Linked DNA regions of Drosophila melanogaster. The protein of the gene in region 2 interacts with the protein of the main gene of each other region in a pairwise test. Each region holds a gene or a part of one and is shown on either strand. Other genes may lie near its edges. The genes, in order: CG7191 and lectin-33A.

Region 1 (9,865 bases), 3.2 Mb from region 2:
TTTTAAGAGTATAGTATCAATGATACATGATGATATGCTAGGAAATGCTTAATCGAACCCTTAACGTCAATTGAAAACGCCTTATCACCATTTAATTGCATACGAATAATAGTATTTCATAAGTTTATTTGAAATATATATATATACTTCTCGACTTTACATTAAAGATAGTTTCAGTTAGTAAGTAGTTAACACGTACACATTTATATATTAATACACACATTTTCAATATTCTCGTATATACACACTGATTTAGCGTTGGGGATTGTGGATCCATTTATCTCATTATAATAATAGTGTAATGGACCGAGAAGACGTTACGAGACTTTAGAGTGATATGGCAACGTTTTGGAATTGTTTGGATTAGCACACGCGACGACCACAATGAAATTAACAAAAGGGAGCGAGCTACTATAACTTTGTTTATTTCGTTAGTATATACAAGACATTGAGAGTTATAAAAGTTTTAATTGTCTACAATTGGAATTAGGGGAGGCTTACAAGGGTCTCTAGCCCTAGTGAGATAACGAAGTATTTTTAGTTCAGCTCGTTTAGCTCTTTTAGACGGGTTAAGTTAAGTAGTTAGTAAATTAGTTAGGCTAATTGTTAGTGCTTGTTGTTCTCCAGTTTAGCGCTCGACTTTGTCAGCAATGTACAATTGATGCTTGGTATACATATGTGTCTGTCAGTGTCGTGTCTGTGTCTGTGTGTGTGTGGGCTAATGGCTTCCATCCCAGATCCTGTGCCTTAGCCCAGGAACCTAATGTTGGTGAAGACCGCCTTGGCCGGACGCTTTCGATTGCAGAAGTTAACCGTCTTGCTGTGATTGCCCTTGCGATTCTCGTGCAGATTGACCAGCAGCTTGAATATATCCTCCTTACTAGGTGTGCAGGCATAACGCAATTCCGGTTCATAGTTGCTGTTGATAGAATTCATGTAAGAACTGATAATGGTAATGGTTATGTAGTTAGCAAAATCGTTCACGCTTCGGCTATCAGTAATCAGTAATCAATAATCGATCTCTCAGTGGGCGGTGGGAAGTTCTGGGTGTCTGGTGTCTGGGCGCCTTTCGGGCCTAAAGAGACTCTGATAAATGCATTACATTAAGTTGTTCAAATTCAATAGACTACTTGGTGGGTGGGCGTTTTGGCAAGGATGCTCCTGAAATTGCCATTCTTTGCATTTTTTCTTTCGAGGTTCATGCTTTTGATTTACGTCAATTCGTTGCAATTGAATTTATCACATTTTTACTTTAAATTAAATCTTTCCATTCCCAAGCAGACGTATTGAAATTGGCAATTTTAGGATTTCCGTTCTAAGCTCTAAAAATATGCTACTTAATACTGCATAAAGACTACTGACAACATTTACTAACTACAAATGAAAAGTGGGTTCGATTAATTAGCGGTCAATGGAGCTGAGTATAGTGCTTGGTGGATTTTCGGATTATTGTGAATAATGTTTAAATATAGAAAAGCAACCTACCCGCGATTCTTGTTGTGACGCTTCCATGGATACCTTCGATAGTAGCGCGAACGCTTGGATTTGCTCTGGCCCAAAACCAAATCCTGAACGGCGTTCTCCAAGTCGGCGTAGTCCTCGGCTCCGCCGGAAGGAATCACAGCCTCCGGCTCCTCCTCCTCCACGTAGACCAAGGGCAAGGTTTCCAATGAGGGATCCTGAGCGAAAAAATGCACATAGATCAAAAAATTGTGTTAAAATTTTAATAAAAATTAAAAATATTATCACTTAAGTATGCATTACTCAAAAAGTTATTTATAAGCAAAAGCTAATATGTTTTGATGTTTATGTTTAATATTTTAAAAAAATTTAATTTACCGTGTATTTTTCAACATTTTCATCGAAATTTCGACAGCCTGTCTTCGCACTCACCTCCAGCATTTTCATGAGCAAAGCGGATTTGTCCACCAGCTCCTGCTCGGCACGCAAATCCTCCTCCATCTTCTTGAGCACCTCGAACTTGCTGGCCAGCTCGAGTTCGTTGTACACCGCATCCGCGTAGTCGGGACCTTGAGGAACCACTGCCAATCCGAGCTCCTGGGCGCGGAGTAATTCTGCCGTGAAATGAGCAAGCCAAAGACCTTATTTGCGATTTGAATGTTTATTCAAGCTGTCGCTAATCCGACCACAACCACGCCATTGCCATTCCCATTCCCACTTCCACTCCCACTCCCACTTAATTCCCCGACTCCTGCTCCTTGCCATCGGAAACTTCCGCCGTTTGATATTTGAAAGTTTGAATAGTTTGTTTGTCTGTCTGTCCTGGTTGGCTGGAATATGTTTTCCCCCGGCTCTTCGGTCGTTTCAATGGACTGGCGGAAATTGACTGGCGGCAATGAGTTTATGGCCACAGCATTCCTTTTCCCCTCCGCGGCAGGGGAAGCCTTCTCGGCTTTTCGACCACGTCCGTCAGTCAAGTCAACAGGCACTGCAACTCCTTGACTGCCTTTTGTCGCATTTGGCATCCAGTCTGCCCATCACTGTCCACTCGATGTCTCTTCAAAGAGCCGCAGACAGCGGACGCTCATGAACCCAAAGCATTTACAGTTTTAAATTTAAGGACTCCTCAATTGAAATAAATAGTTTCGAGATCAGAAACAGAAATAAATTTAAATTTTTGTTTCATATATGTATGTTTATAAGATCATGTCCAAAAATTCAAATGTTACCAACTCAAACCAAATCGATATTCGTTAAATTTCCAATCCATTTACCCATCTATCAAATCGCTTGGAAAACAAGTTCGCTTATTGAAAATCGGATATGACATTTTATTGCCGGTTGGTAGAAGGTAGGTGGTAGCAACGTAAAACGCAAACGTCGAATCAAATTCGTCAACAAATTTGAAAATCTATCCCGGGCAGTTTGGTGGGCGTTTTAAGTGCTCAGCACAAACAAACACATGCTCCACATATTGTGCGATGGTCAACAATGTGAGGCACTTGAAAAATTGTGCACTGACCGAAAATGTTCAGCGAGCGGTGGTCACCATGGCCATTAGGGATAGAGATGGTGGGCGACGGTTACGGCTAAGTGCACGCCATGGGTCACCCTAACTCTTGGTCCACCCCTTTCGAATGGGTCGCCTAAAAGTCGGCAAGCAAAAATTTTGAACGTAATCATGTACTCAGGTGAGGAGTAAATAGGAGGCCATAACTGCCATTAAATATTGAAAATATTTTAGAAAAATAGCTAAATGACAACAAAATAACTAGTTCATTTATTAAAGTTCCTGAACAGATTCAGTTCCAGTTCCTCAGCTTTATGGATCAGAATGCCTATTAATTTGGCTAATATAAATAAGGTCTATATATTTTTATAGGGCGATGGAATAGCTTGGTTATAGGATTCACCTTGACCACGATTACGTCTTCGCATTCAAAAAGAACCCGATAACAATTTAATTGAAATGGTCTTTGGATGCAGTTGCTATCCTTTTAATTCGACTGGGGATTAGCTGATGCCCGGGAAGTTTACCATGGCAAGGAAAGCGGTAATAGGGATGTTTATGACTCACCATCGCCGGGATCGTAAACAGCTCGTTCCTGGGCATCCAGGACATCGCCGGGCAGAGCGGGTCCTTGGCGAACGGGTCCGCCCCCGACCGCTAGAACGGGCAAATGAAGACGTTGTGGTACGGACGCCACGCCCTGATGGTCACCCACTTTGGCACCGTTTGCTCCGCCTGCTCCTCCGCTGGCGGTGGACTGTGCAGTCAGGAAGCCGGCGACGTGACGCGTCCTGCTGCACAGGATCGTGGTAGCCAGGATGCAGAGCGCTAGGATGTCGGGCTTCATGTTCATACAGCCTCTGCGGATGAGCTCGGGATTAGTGCGCGGGTCGTTGGCGATGTGGATGTCTCTGGAAGGCAAAAAAAAAAAAAGCGTAGATGTTTGTACAAGAGGGTAATTACCGTCACTACCACGGCCATGGGATGGATACCTACCCCATCCGCCCCATTATGCCGTGCGTGTGGGCGTCTCTTTGTGCTCAAGCAAACAATACTCAGATAAACACGCAAGCAACCAAGAAACCCCCGCCAAAAGTAGGAGAATCGCGAGGGAAACTGGAGAAATGGGCGGTGGGTGCCAAACGTCAAAAGGGCGTCTCTTGGATAACTTGGCGGCTGATTCTGGGGCTTTTGTTTTGCGCTCCTGCTTAATCTTTCTTCGCGCGAAGAACCGTGGGCCATACGGGCAAACAAATTCTACTCCTTTTCCACTAACTAAGGCCGTTATTTAAAAATTGGGTAAAAATATAAAGGTTGTGTACTTTGCAGACAAATAGTTAATAACAAAGACGGATGCAGTATGTTGTTTATAAAGTAGAAATTACACAATTCAACTATCAGAAAAATAATATATTTATATTAATATTCGAATATTAAAAAGTACTGCCTAATTTTTAACATCCCATTTATTTATAGACAAATGAAAGCTACTCTATAATTCTTGTAGATTTTAACGAAAGATGTTTCTAATTAAAATTGATAAGAATGCTATTACTTTTCGCATAGATTTCCACCACTGTGCAGTAGGTGTTTGTGTGCTTTTATAAATATTTTTTATGTCAGGTACTGCATCGCGGTTCATACTGGGCCCACTCTGTGCGCTTTGTCGTTTCATTTAATTAAGGATGGGACGTCGCCGAAGTGAGCGAGTGGGCTTAACTCCTTCGCAGCGTATTTTTAGCCCATTTAGCTCAGGAGCCTGGTTGTTGGGGTTTTGGGGAAACCCGCCAACCTTATCGCATTTTTTTGCGTTTAAAAAACATTCGCTTGACGAGCAATATAAATGAGTTGCCTGAAACTTTTGGCACTTGCGGTCTCGCTGGTTGAGATGTCTAGGATCGGCTTAATTTGTCTGCCCAAGCAACTGAAAATAATGTATGCCTAAGACAAATTTCGACAAAAAAGTGTGAAAATTTTCACCAAGAAATCCAAAGTTCATTATTTAATTAAGGGCTTGGTAAATAATTAAAGCGCTGTTTGCTGCGAAAGTTTAAGCGTCTGTTTTTTTAAGGAATTATAATTTATTACATAATTCTATAATTTAATAATATTAATCTTTATTAAAATATTTTCCAGAAAATCTGTTCTACCTCACAGATAAATACATTGAAATTAGCTCAATTTATATGGTTAGTTAACCACATAAATCAATCAAGCAAATCAACTCTGTCACGCCCTCTCAAAAAAATAAAGACGGTTGCATTTGGTTCATTAAAATTGCTCGGAGAAAGAGAAATTCTCTGTGGATGATTTTCTTTTCACTTTTCGTCACGTTTTGATTAAATTCAATTGAAAATTTGCAACTTTGTCAAAATATTTGCGAACAATGTTCTCTCGTAGATTTAGGTCTTTAAGTGCATTGCGATTTTCCTGTTTTTTTTTGGTATTAATTTTGGAAATAAATTGCAATTTCTTCGGGCATTTCCTGCAAGAAAACTTTTTCAATTACTCCTCTTTTATTGGCACTCACTTAAGTGGGCGACACTTTGGCGTTATTTTTGGGAAAGCACAACTTATTCGAAATTGCTGCGGAGAGAACGAATTATAAGTAAACAAAGCAAACACGAATCGTTGTTAAAATGCCTTAATTAACTTGTTGACACAGTGTCAAAAAGTGGACAGAGCCCAAAAAACAAAAAATAGGAAAAAAAAAGCAAAAGAAGGGAATTCACCCTGGTTGGCGATGTCCCCAAGGTAAAATGAAATTAACTTGGAAGCGAGGGAAGTTTCAGGAACCCATATATAATTGTACGTTCATTTTTACCCGTCGCCTGTTTTCCTTTTCGCAATAACCGCACAGCTAATTGCTAAATTGAGTTGAAGTGTAACCGAAACGCACACGAACCCAAAGGAATTTTCATAGGCCTTATCTGCCACTATATTCGCCTACGTACCACCTGGACATGTGTGGCGGAAAAACTGCTTAATTAGGGCTAAGGATGTGGAGTTGGTCAAGTGCATCGGACATTTTGTCGCCGGAGTCCGGCCAATTAGACACGGTCTACGTGCGTAACAATCCTGGGTAGGATATTACATAACTTTTCTACTTATTGAATCCGACCATCTGGGATACTTGTCAAAATTTGCACACAAAAGGTTACACAAAGTGTTTGAGCCAAACCAAAGGACCAGACAGACGGCAATGATTGCTACGAAAAATCAAAAAAAGGGTGCTAGCCAAGAAAATTCCATGAAATTCATAAGTATTTTTTTTGCAGTTTTAAATCCTCGCCAACTACAAAATCGTGTACTAATCTTTAATGAAAAGTATAGCCTGCGGAATGTAAGTCAATACCTCTAGATATACTTTTCAGTTGCTATGTCTAAAGAAATAGCACAACCAATTTCAGTAAATACATTCTCCAGGAGAAAATCCTGTGGGATGCTGAATTTTTGTGACATGAAAACAGCTTTGGAATGCTTTCGATTGATTCAGTTTTTTTTTTTAAATTTCTATACGATTGTCAGGAATTTTTGCACGTGGAACTTAAGGGGTTTGAAACAGAGAACGAGGTCGGGGACAACAAATATTGATGCTTTTTTCTATTTGTTTCTCCTAGATTTTCATTGGTTTATTGACATTTGTGTTTGGCATTGGTGGGAATTCCTTGAGTTATTGACATTGATAAAGTATTTATGGATTGCTGTCCCGAGTAACCTTAAAACCAATTTTCCCAAAATTTGTAAGCTCACCAGTGCAATGAAATGAATTTTTAAATTTAACTAGTTCAGCTGTGATGCTCTGTGCTTAAAAAGCTTGAACTTTAATAAATTAATAAAAATAAATTATTGTAGTTAAACATTTACAAGATTAGTATAATATATAAAATTAATCATATAAATGGGGTTTTCTTGTAAAAAGCGTTGGTGAAATAAAATAAGAAAATTTTACTTTTATTTTTGAAGAGAACTTACAATGGCTAGGCTCTATCTTTATGGTAATTTTCAGTTTTAAGCCAAAGGTAGTTTTGTGTTAAATATCTTCTGATACAATTCAAAATATAAGAGCAGATTAAAATAATTTACCAAAGAAAAAGTACTGAATTAATGAATTAAGTTTTAGCTGGCTTTTCTTTGCCTTAAAAATATTTCTGTATTATTAAGAACGAATTCACTTAATAGTTTTAAATATAAGAGTTCTCCTGTTCTTATTTGGCATATTTAATATATGTCCACAAATTGTTATTTATTTTTTTAGGCGCGTATTTCGAGTTTCATTGACGACACTGTAATCGATGACGAAAGCGACGGCATTACTAAGATTTCACGTCACGTTTAGTTATCCTTTTTATGAAATCGACTGGCTTAAATTAAACACAGACCACAAGATATTTTTTGGAAACTTCTTAAAGAGTTTGGCGTGACTGATATTCGAAATACACCGTTAACACTCACTTTAAAATATATTCCTGGAAACCGTTTGAGTTACTGAATCGGAATCAGAATCGGAATACTGTCAACTGTTGCACCTACTACTTGTTGAACACTGCGTGGTTGACTCGCGGAGCCGCTTCCTTTTATAAGGCCGCATCCGAAGTTGAAACCGATTCGTTGCCATCGTCGGCCGATGACGAGTGCGTCGATTTCAACGAGCCGATGTAAAGGCGCCAAAAATTGCGTAAAAGCTTCAAACAAGCTTTTACTGGCCACTCCTCCTTGGAAAACGAAGCCACGGCCGTTTTTATCAATGAAATATTTTGGGGACATTTAAAAAGTTTAGCGCGATATTCGCGAATGAATAATGTCGGTGGCAATTATTCAGCAGGATCACGATATGCGCCGCAAAGTAGACAACAAGTCGCGAAAAGACGTCACGTGGCAAGGTGATAAATTATCTGCGGGTTGGGGTGGATAGAAGCCTTTGTTGACGGCCCTGTTTACGGAAACGTATTCTGAATAGTCCGGGTCACTCGTTTCTCGGAATCTCGCCTTTCTGTGGGAGGTCTCAAAGTTCCTCAAAGGACCTGCCAAGCATGACGCTGCGGAAATCCCTGCAGGCCGGTAGTTTGGAAATGTATTTGAAAATTTCCAGCGAATCGCCTAAATGTAATTGCATTGTCATATTCCAGTGCAAAATGGTATTGTCATATTGCTGCACTTATGAATTAGGCAACGATTATATTTATAGATCGATGATGATATAGCCTATCAGTCAGGCTGATAAATACTGGAAAAAGATAAAAAATCTATTTAAATGTGGTAAACTCATAAAATTTAATTCGAAAGGGTTTGATGTCTGTTTTTTTTTTACCTTCTATTGGCGTTTATTAAAAAATAATCAAATTTTATATTTATAGCTAATGTGTATATTTAAAACATTTGCTGCCTAAACTTAAACGGCAATGGCCTCGGCCAATAGTCCATCCTTTCCGTCCGACTCCCAGTTGAACTGCAAATCCAAAAGGAACACGGCAATCGCAGAGGAGGAATCGAAGGGTCTGGACATCCATCCAGTCGGATGTCAACAACCGTCGCAGCCCGCAGGCCTTGAAAATGATGACACTTTAATGTGAAATTGCCGTTAGTAATGGAGGGCAATCCAAACGATCCTTCGATGTTTTCGTTATTGTTTTGAGTGTGTGTATGTATGTGTGTGTGACTGTGTGTTGTTTTGGCCTAAAAGGCGGGCCGGGAAAATAAGCATATATAGGGTTTTCTTGAAAATCGCCTGGGGCAACAGAAGATGACACTTACGCAGAGAAAACCAATAATAGCCCGCTGAAAAGTTTAAGTGCTCGCGGGCAGGGGAAAGTGTCACTGGATGGAGGCTTCCTCATGTAGCGCGGCAAAAGTCATATTTTTGGCCAGAACCTGCTATTTATAGTCGTCTTTATTTATTTCGTTCGCTCTCCTCCACTTCTTCATACTTTACGCTCCTTATGGCAAGCGGATTGTGCGACTTAAGTTGCATCAGTCCGAAGTCCACCCACCCAAATGGCCACCGATTCATCCAAATGCGTCACGCCCTTCTGGTTTGGCACATGCAATCTCGCCATGTGCCGACGTGCCAAACAAAATGATAAACAAATTAGCGCAGCTAATTACTCTGAAATTTGTGGTTGGTGTTCCGGGAAACAGAGCCTGATATGTCATATATAAATATATTTCTTATGAAGTTATAATGAAATTAATATATATCATCATATACATTTATTTGTAAAAATAAATAAAATAAATCATTACCCAAAAATCATTATACACATGAAAACTCAGCGGACCTTATCATTTACTAAATTAGTTTTCCGTGTAATCTTCTTTCGAGGATTCGGTTTTCAGAACACTATTTGGCCCGCATATCTTTCCGTTACGCATATCCGTATCGCTGAGCAAATATTTGTAGCATACTTGTCGGGCGTTGGCGAGTGAAATGTGCAATTGACTCACGCGTTTGTTTTTGGATTTTTCGGCCGCTTTATTTTTGTTGTCATGCGGGTACAATCAAGTCGTTACAGCTTTAATTAAACCCCATTGACAGTTATCAAGTTATCAACCTAAACGCTGAGATTGAGTGACAGTTTAGCTAACGTTTTTCGATTGCGCTACCTCTTCCGACGTCTAACAAACTGTGGTAGGTACCCCAGCCTAATTGATGTTTGCACGATTTGGTGAAATATCTGGACTCTCATGGATGGGAAACCAAATATTTTGCCAAATATTGTAGAACTCGCTAAAAACTGGTGCAGCAGGATAAACGACCAGCCGCTGTCCACCGAACGTAAAAAATGGTTTTATTCTATAGCTTCTCATTAGGCTTTGGCTGGCTCCTGGGCCTCGTGATCGGAGGAGATATCTTGTTCCGGCTCCTCCACCACCGCCTCCTCCTCGCACTCCTCC
Region 2 (5,345 bases):
GTAGATTTCCGAATCGATAGTCAGCCAGGCACGTCCGATTTCCGGAAAGAGGCCCATGGTGCAGTGGCATTTTATGTCTACAACAGGTAGGATCGAAGATTGGAACGGATAGATCTATGGGCTATGAAGCCCAGGATACGTACGCTTAAAGTGCTCCAGAATCTCGTTGGGAATAGCCGACTTGGTCACCGTTCGCATTTGTTGTAGGTTATGTGTTCTATCCGATTTCAAAAACGACAGGCTCTGGTAATCGTAGTCATTAAGTCCGCTCATCGTGGCCCGCCCATGCTGGCTAACGCCGGTCAGCTACAAAGAACGTATCATTAAAGGAGGAGAAGCTGATAAACATCCGTATCCAATACATACTTCCAGCAGACCCGGCTTATTTCTCTCCAGATTGTAATGCCATTCCAGCATACTGGTCGCCGTCGTGAAAAAGTCCAGCTGTGCTTGCGGAAGAGTCATCGTGCTGAAAACTGTGATGAGGCGGGCTAACTCGGGTGCAATGCTAACTTAAAATGCCGTCAGACCACTGTTTTGGGATGAAACTACAAACTAATCTGAAGATTTGGTCGACTGATGCTCAATGTACCCACGCTCCCGCCTTCTGCTAAGTGTTACCAGATATCCTCACATTCTCGGTATTGTTTTGGTATATTTCGATTGAATATTAATGGATTTCACAATTTCAGGCGCCTTAGCGGGGTATTATGAAATCGTCTGTCACAAGAAACATTTGCAAACGTGCATGAAATTAATATTTTAATAATAATTTCTTTTACTGCTAATATATATTATATGATAAGGACGCGTATATTAATAGACAATAATGGTTTTAGTAGGCATATTCAGTGGGCTTAAATACTTTGAAAAAACGTTGATAATTTTATATAAACAGTAACTGTGCTAATACAAGTATAATAAAAAAAGCACTTCCCATGCCGGAAACTTTTGAGAATATAAAAATATTAGAATGTGAAGAGTATAACTCAGTTGAGCGCAACAGGTGTGTTATTCTCTAAAATCGGTAAAACCTCAAACTACTGAATGAATTCAGCATTTCGAAGCTTTGCCAATGGATTTTATAATTGTGATTAAAATCCACTTTCCGCTTTCCCAAATAGACTTGATTTAAGCCTTCTTTTCAAAAAAAAAAAAAAAGACTACTGTAACTCAACACAGAAACTCTAGCGCTTAACAGCACAATGCGTAACGTTAACAGCACCCCAACGGCACATGGCGCTCAAAATTTAGCGCATTTTGTGCGCCTCACACAGCCACATTAAATTTCCCTTCTTTTCTTTTCCCCGTTTCCGGTGAGTAGTGTGTTCCGCGTTATATTTTTATTGAAATTTTAACCCAAAATATCTCTAAAACCACCCCTTGCAGCGAGGAGTCCATCCAGAATTTGTGTCATACAAACGAGGGACTAACGGAGCGTAAGTTTTGTGTGAAAAAGCGCCCCAAAACATCGAATCGAGTGAAACGGCAATTGGCGTGTGGCACTGAAGAGCCGCCGTTTTTCCATTTCCGCTGGGATGGATGATCCATAAACAAATTGGAAAACAATAGGCAGCGCACGTTTTGTTAGCCCGATGTGAACTCTGCGATTCGATGTTTGGAATGCTCTGTGACAAGCACTTGTAGCCTTGATAAACTAATAATTAATGTTTTTGCCGACAGTGTCATCAAGATGCGTACCATTAATTCCAACCAGTGCGTGAAGATCCCTAAGGATATCAAGGCCTCGGTGAAGGCCCGTGTGGTGACCATCACCGGCACCCGCGGCACCCTGAAGCGCAGCTTCAAGCACTTGGCTCTGGACATGTACATGCCCGACAAGCGCACCCTGAAGGTGGAGAAGTGGTTCGGAACCAAGAAGGAGTTGGCCGCCGTCCGCACCGTCTGCAGTCACATCGAGAACATGATCAAGGGTGCGTACAGCTAGGGTAAACACAACAGGAACACTTTCACAGCCAGGCCTTTCATTTGCCAATCACACGAGAATTTAATAATAATATCTGGGAAGACGATTTACTAAACTCCATTCATAGATATCAATTTTCTTTACAAATTACCTAAAAATGCTATATAGTAGTTAGTAAATATTTTCAGTGTGTGCTGGCAAATTAGATTCGGCATTAGGTTCCTAAAGACATTTGCATTCAAAGTACCACACAATTAATTGCAATTTCTCTCTCGCCAGGAGTCACGTTTGGATTCCAGTACAAGATGCGTGCTGTGTACGCCCATTTCCCCATCAACTGTGTCACCTCCGAGAACAACACGGTCATTGAGATCCGTAACTTCTTGGGTGAGAAGTACATCCGTCGTGTGGAGATGGCTCCTGGCGTCACCGTGGTCAACTCCACTGCCCAGAAGGACGAACTTATCGTGGAGGGAAACGATATTGAGTCTGTCTCCGGATCTGCCGCCCTCATCCAGCAGTCCACGACCGTCAAGAACAAGGATATCCGTAAGTTCCTTGACGGTCTGTACGTGTCCGAGAAGACGACCGTTGTGAAGCTAGAGTCTTAGACTTTTGGAATGTGTTTCAACCTAAAATGTTAATAAAAAAAAACCAACGGCCGAAACTTTCAATAAGAAATTTAGTGTCTTTAAACTTTTGTAATATAATGTATTCAGATTTTATCACAATGCTCCACTAAAAAAGTGATGATTGGTTGAAAATTCGTTGGTAAGATTGTGTTATTTATCTTATTTATTTATTTGCAAGGTTTCATAAGTTCATGATAACTTGAGATTGAAAGCACTACAAAAGGACCTTTAGGAAGAGATCCCGCTTAAGGCAGAGGTAGTCCTCTGCTGGTTCCCTCTGGCACACATATGGAAACTGAACCTTGCACTCTATATCGTGATACCCAAAGGCTCCATTGTAATTGGCGAATCCAACACAATCCTCTTCGGGGGAAGCGTTGTTCGGTTCCAGGGGTACCCAGTTTAGGTACGGCACAGTTTCGCCGTTCCTGGCGAGAAGAAAGGTGCGCCGGTTACCCAAGCAATTGATGCCAGCCCAAACGGAGTGATGCCAGCTTTGGGTGAAGGATAGCCCCATACTCTTTAGGAACGTGGTTGTGAGGAGTTTGTCCTCTTGATTGTCGAGCACCATTAGTTCGGCACCAAGTTTTCGACAGCTTCGATCGGCAACATGCCAGTTGGCCTGAAATAATATTTTTGCGTTTAAATAAAATCCTTGTACAACGTATTGTACGCACCTCCTGCAAAGATACGTGGTAGCACTTGTTTCCGACTCGACTAAACGGCAACGGACACGTCTGTGCATTGGCACATTCGAGAATCAGAGCTATAAGAAGGAAACCGAAAGACCCTTTGATGCACATGCTCATGTTTTAGGGCCAACTGATATGTTTATATGAAAGCTAGCTACTTTTAAACGCTCGGCAGAGAACTATATTTTATTGCAAGCAGTCGGGAGATAATATTTATTAACGTTATCTTAAGCAAATTAGGGCAATCAGTGCGAAAATGGCAAGCATGTACAACGACTGCGAATTTATCATTATCATTTATTACAAAAATATTCAAAGCCTGTTAATTTACTATGCCATCTGGACGATGGCACATACGCCCCTTTTACATTTAAATTGCACAAAGGAATATAAAAAAAGAACTTATAATTTTAATATGAAAGATCTTATAAAAATTTGGAATTATGGAATTACACCTGTCAAAATTCCAATTGTTCCACTGAGATATCTCGTTATATAGACCTTGTTTTGAATTCAACGATGCCTTTTCAATAAGTACCACCTTCAAACATTTAAACGTTAAAATAAATAATTTCATATTAATTTTATTTTTGTTTTATGACTTGATATATAGATAATATATACAATAAATAGTAAGTATAAGCTACATCTTTGCAAATGTGTCCGGAGATTTACAATTAATCGCTTTAAGCGCGACCGATAACTGAAGGAATAACTCACATCCCTGGGCGTCTAACAACTACCCGGTAATTTCTGTTATCTCTTATTCACTGAACGGCATTTGTGACGAGTAGATCGTAAGAAAGTGCAACTGTAATTTGTGTAATTATGAATTTACCACCAAACCCTGTAATTGCTCGTGGACGTGGTCGAGGAAGAAAGCCCAATAATGTAGAGGCCAATCGCGGCTTCGCTCCTTCGCTGGTAGGCATTTATGTATTTTCATGTTTTATTTTTATCCAACTTATCCAAAATTAGCTTGGCCTTGTCTTTTAATGTGCATCCCATTTCAATTTCTATGTAAGATCAGCATGCGTATCAAATGTATGTATGCATAATGTTATTGTGTGTACATCGTTTGTACATTACATTACATTTTTGTAATACGTTAAGGTCGAATAGCATGTTTGTACATCATTTTGCCATGAGTTGTTATAACAGTTTATTAATATGCATGTGACAATAAAAACAAATACATGCTAATTAAATAACACTTTGTTATAAAATAAGTGTAATTAGATTAAATAATCAATTTTTTAACCAATTCATTCGCAGGGTCAGAAGTCGGACCCTTCCCACTCGGAAGGAAATCAAGCATCCGGAGGCAATGGTGGTGGTGGTGATGCTCAAGTGGGTCCCTCGATAGAGAAATCCAGTTTGAGCGCGGTGCAAATGCACAAGTCCGAGGGTTAGTAGTTTTATTTGGTTTTGCTCAAAAAAATTTGTTTTTTTTTTTTTCGAACCCAGCTTCTGTGAGCTGTTGTTATTCTCATTTGTTTTCAATGCGTTCGTAATTAATTAGTAATTTAATTCAGGCGATCCGCGTGGCTCCGTGCGCGGCCGTAGGCTAATAACGGATTTGGTGTATTCACGTCCTCCAGGGATGACCAGCAAGAAAGGAGTGGTTGGCACTCATATTACCGTGCAGGCAAACTATTTTAAGGTATTAAAGCGTCCAAACTGGACCATCTACCAGTACCGCGTCGATTTTACGCCTGATGTGGAGGCTACACGACTGCGACGGTCTTTCTTGTATGAACATAAAGGGATCCTGGGCGGCTACATCTTTGACGGAACCAATATGTTTTGCATCAATCAGTTCAAAGCTGTTCAAGATAGCCCCTATGTTTTGGAACTGGTTACGAAGAGTCGTGCTGGCGAAAACATTGAAATTAAGATCAAGGCTGTTGGATCTGTGCAATCTACGGATGCCGAGCAGTTTCAGGTCCTTAATCTCATACTGCGCAGGGCCATGGAGGGCTTAGACTTGAAGCTGGTCTCGCGCTACTACTACGATCCTCAAGCTAAGGTTTGCCCTCTGTACTCACATTTATCATCACTCTCACTTTGGTAATTTAAAAATTTAGATTAATT

Evidence for each region.
Region 1: the proteins of lectin-33A (region 2) and CG7191 interact in a two-hybrid assay, tested with the Drosophila melanogaster proteins (one large-scale study listed by BioGRID).

Annotation. Positions count from the first base shown.
Region 1 is NT_033779.5:7,765,279-7,775,143, reverse strand, and holds CG7191 (uncharacterized protein), read right to left. Parts: upstream 7,517-9,865; 5' UTR 7,427-7,516; intron 3,883-7,426; 5' UTR 3,825-3,882; coding exon 3,539-3,824; intron 2,076-3,538; coding exon 1,894-2,075; intron 1,680-1,893; coding exon 1,486-1,679; intron 944-1,485; coding exon 748-943; 3' UTR 111-747; downstream 1-110. Other genes in the region: CG46025 (uncharacterized protein), read right to left, coding at 9,778-9,865.
Region 2 is NT_033779.5:11,000,100-11,005,444, reverse strand, and holds lectin-33A (lectin-33A), read right to left. Parts: upstream 3,374-5,345; 5' UTR 3,363-3,373; coding exon 3,237-3,362; intron 3,182-3,236; coding exon 2,774-3,181; 3' UTR 2,707-2,773; downstream 1-2,706. Other genes in the region: Nup154 (nucleoporin 154kD), read right to left, coding at 1-77, 144-306, 367-465; RpL9 (ribosomal protein L9), read left to right, coding at 1,694-1,934, 2,207-2,538; aub (aubergine), read left to right, coding at 4,080-4,175, 4,527-4,659, 4,787-5,280, 5,339-5,345.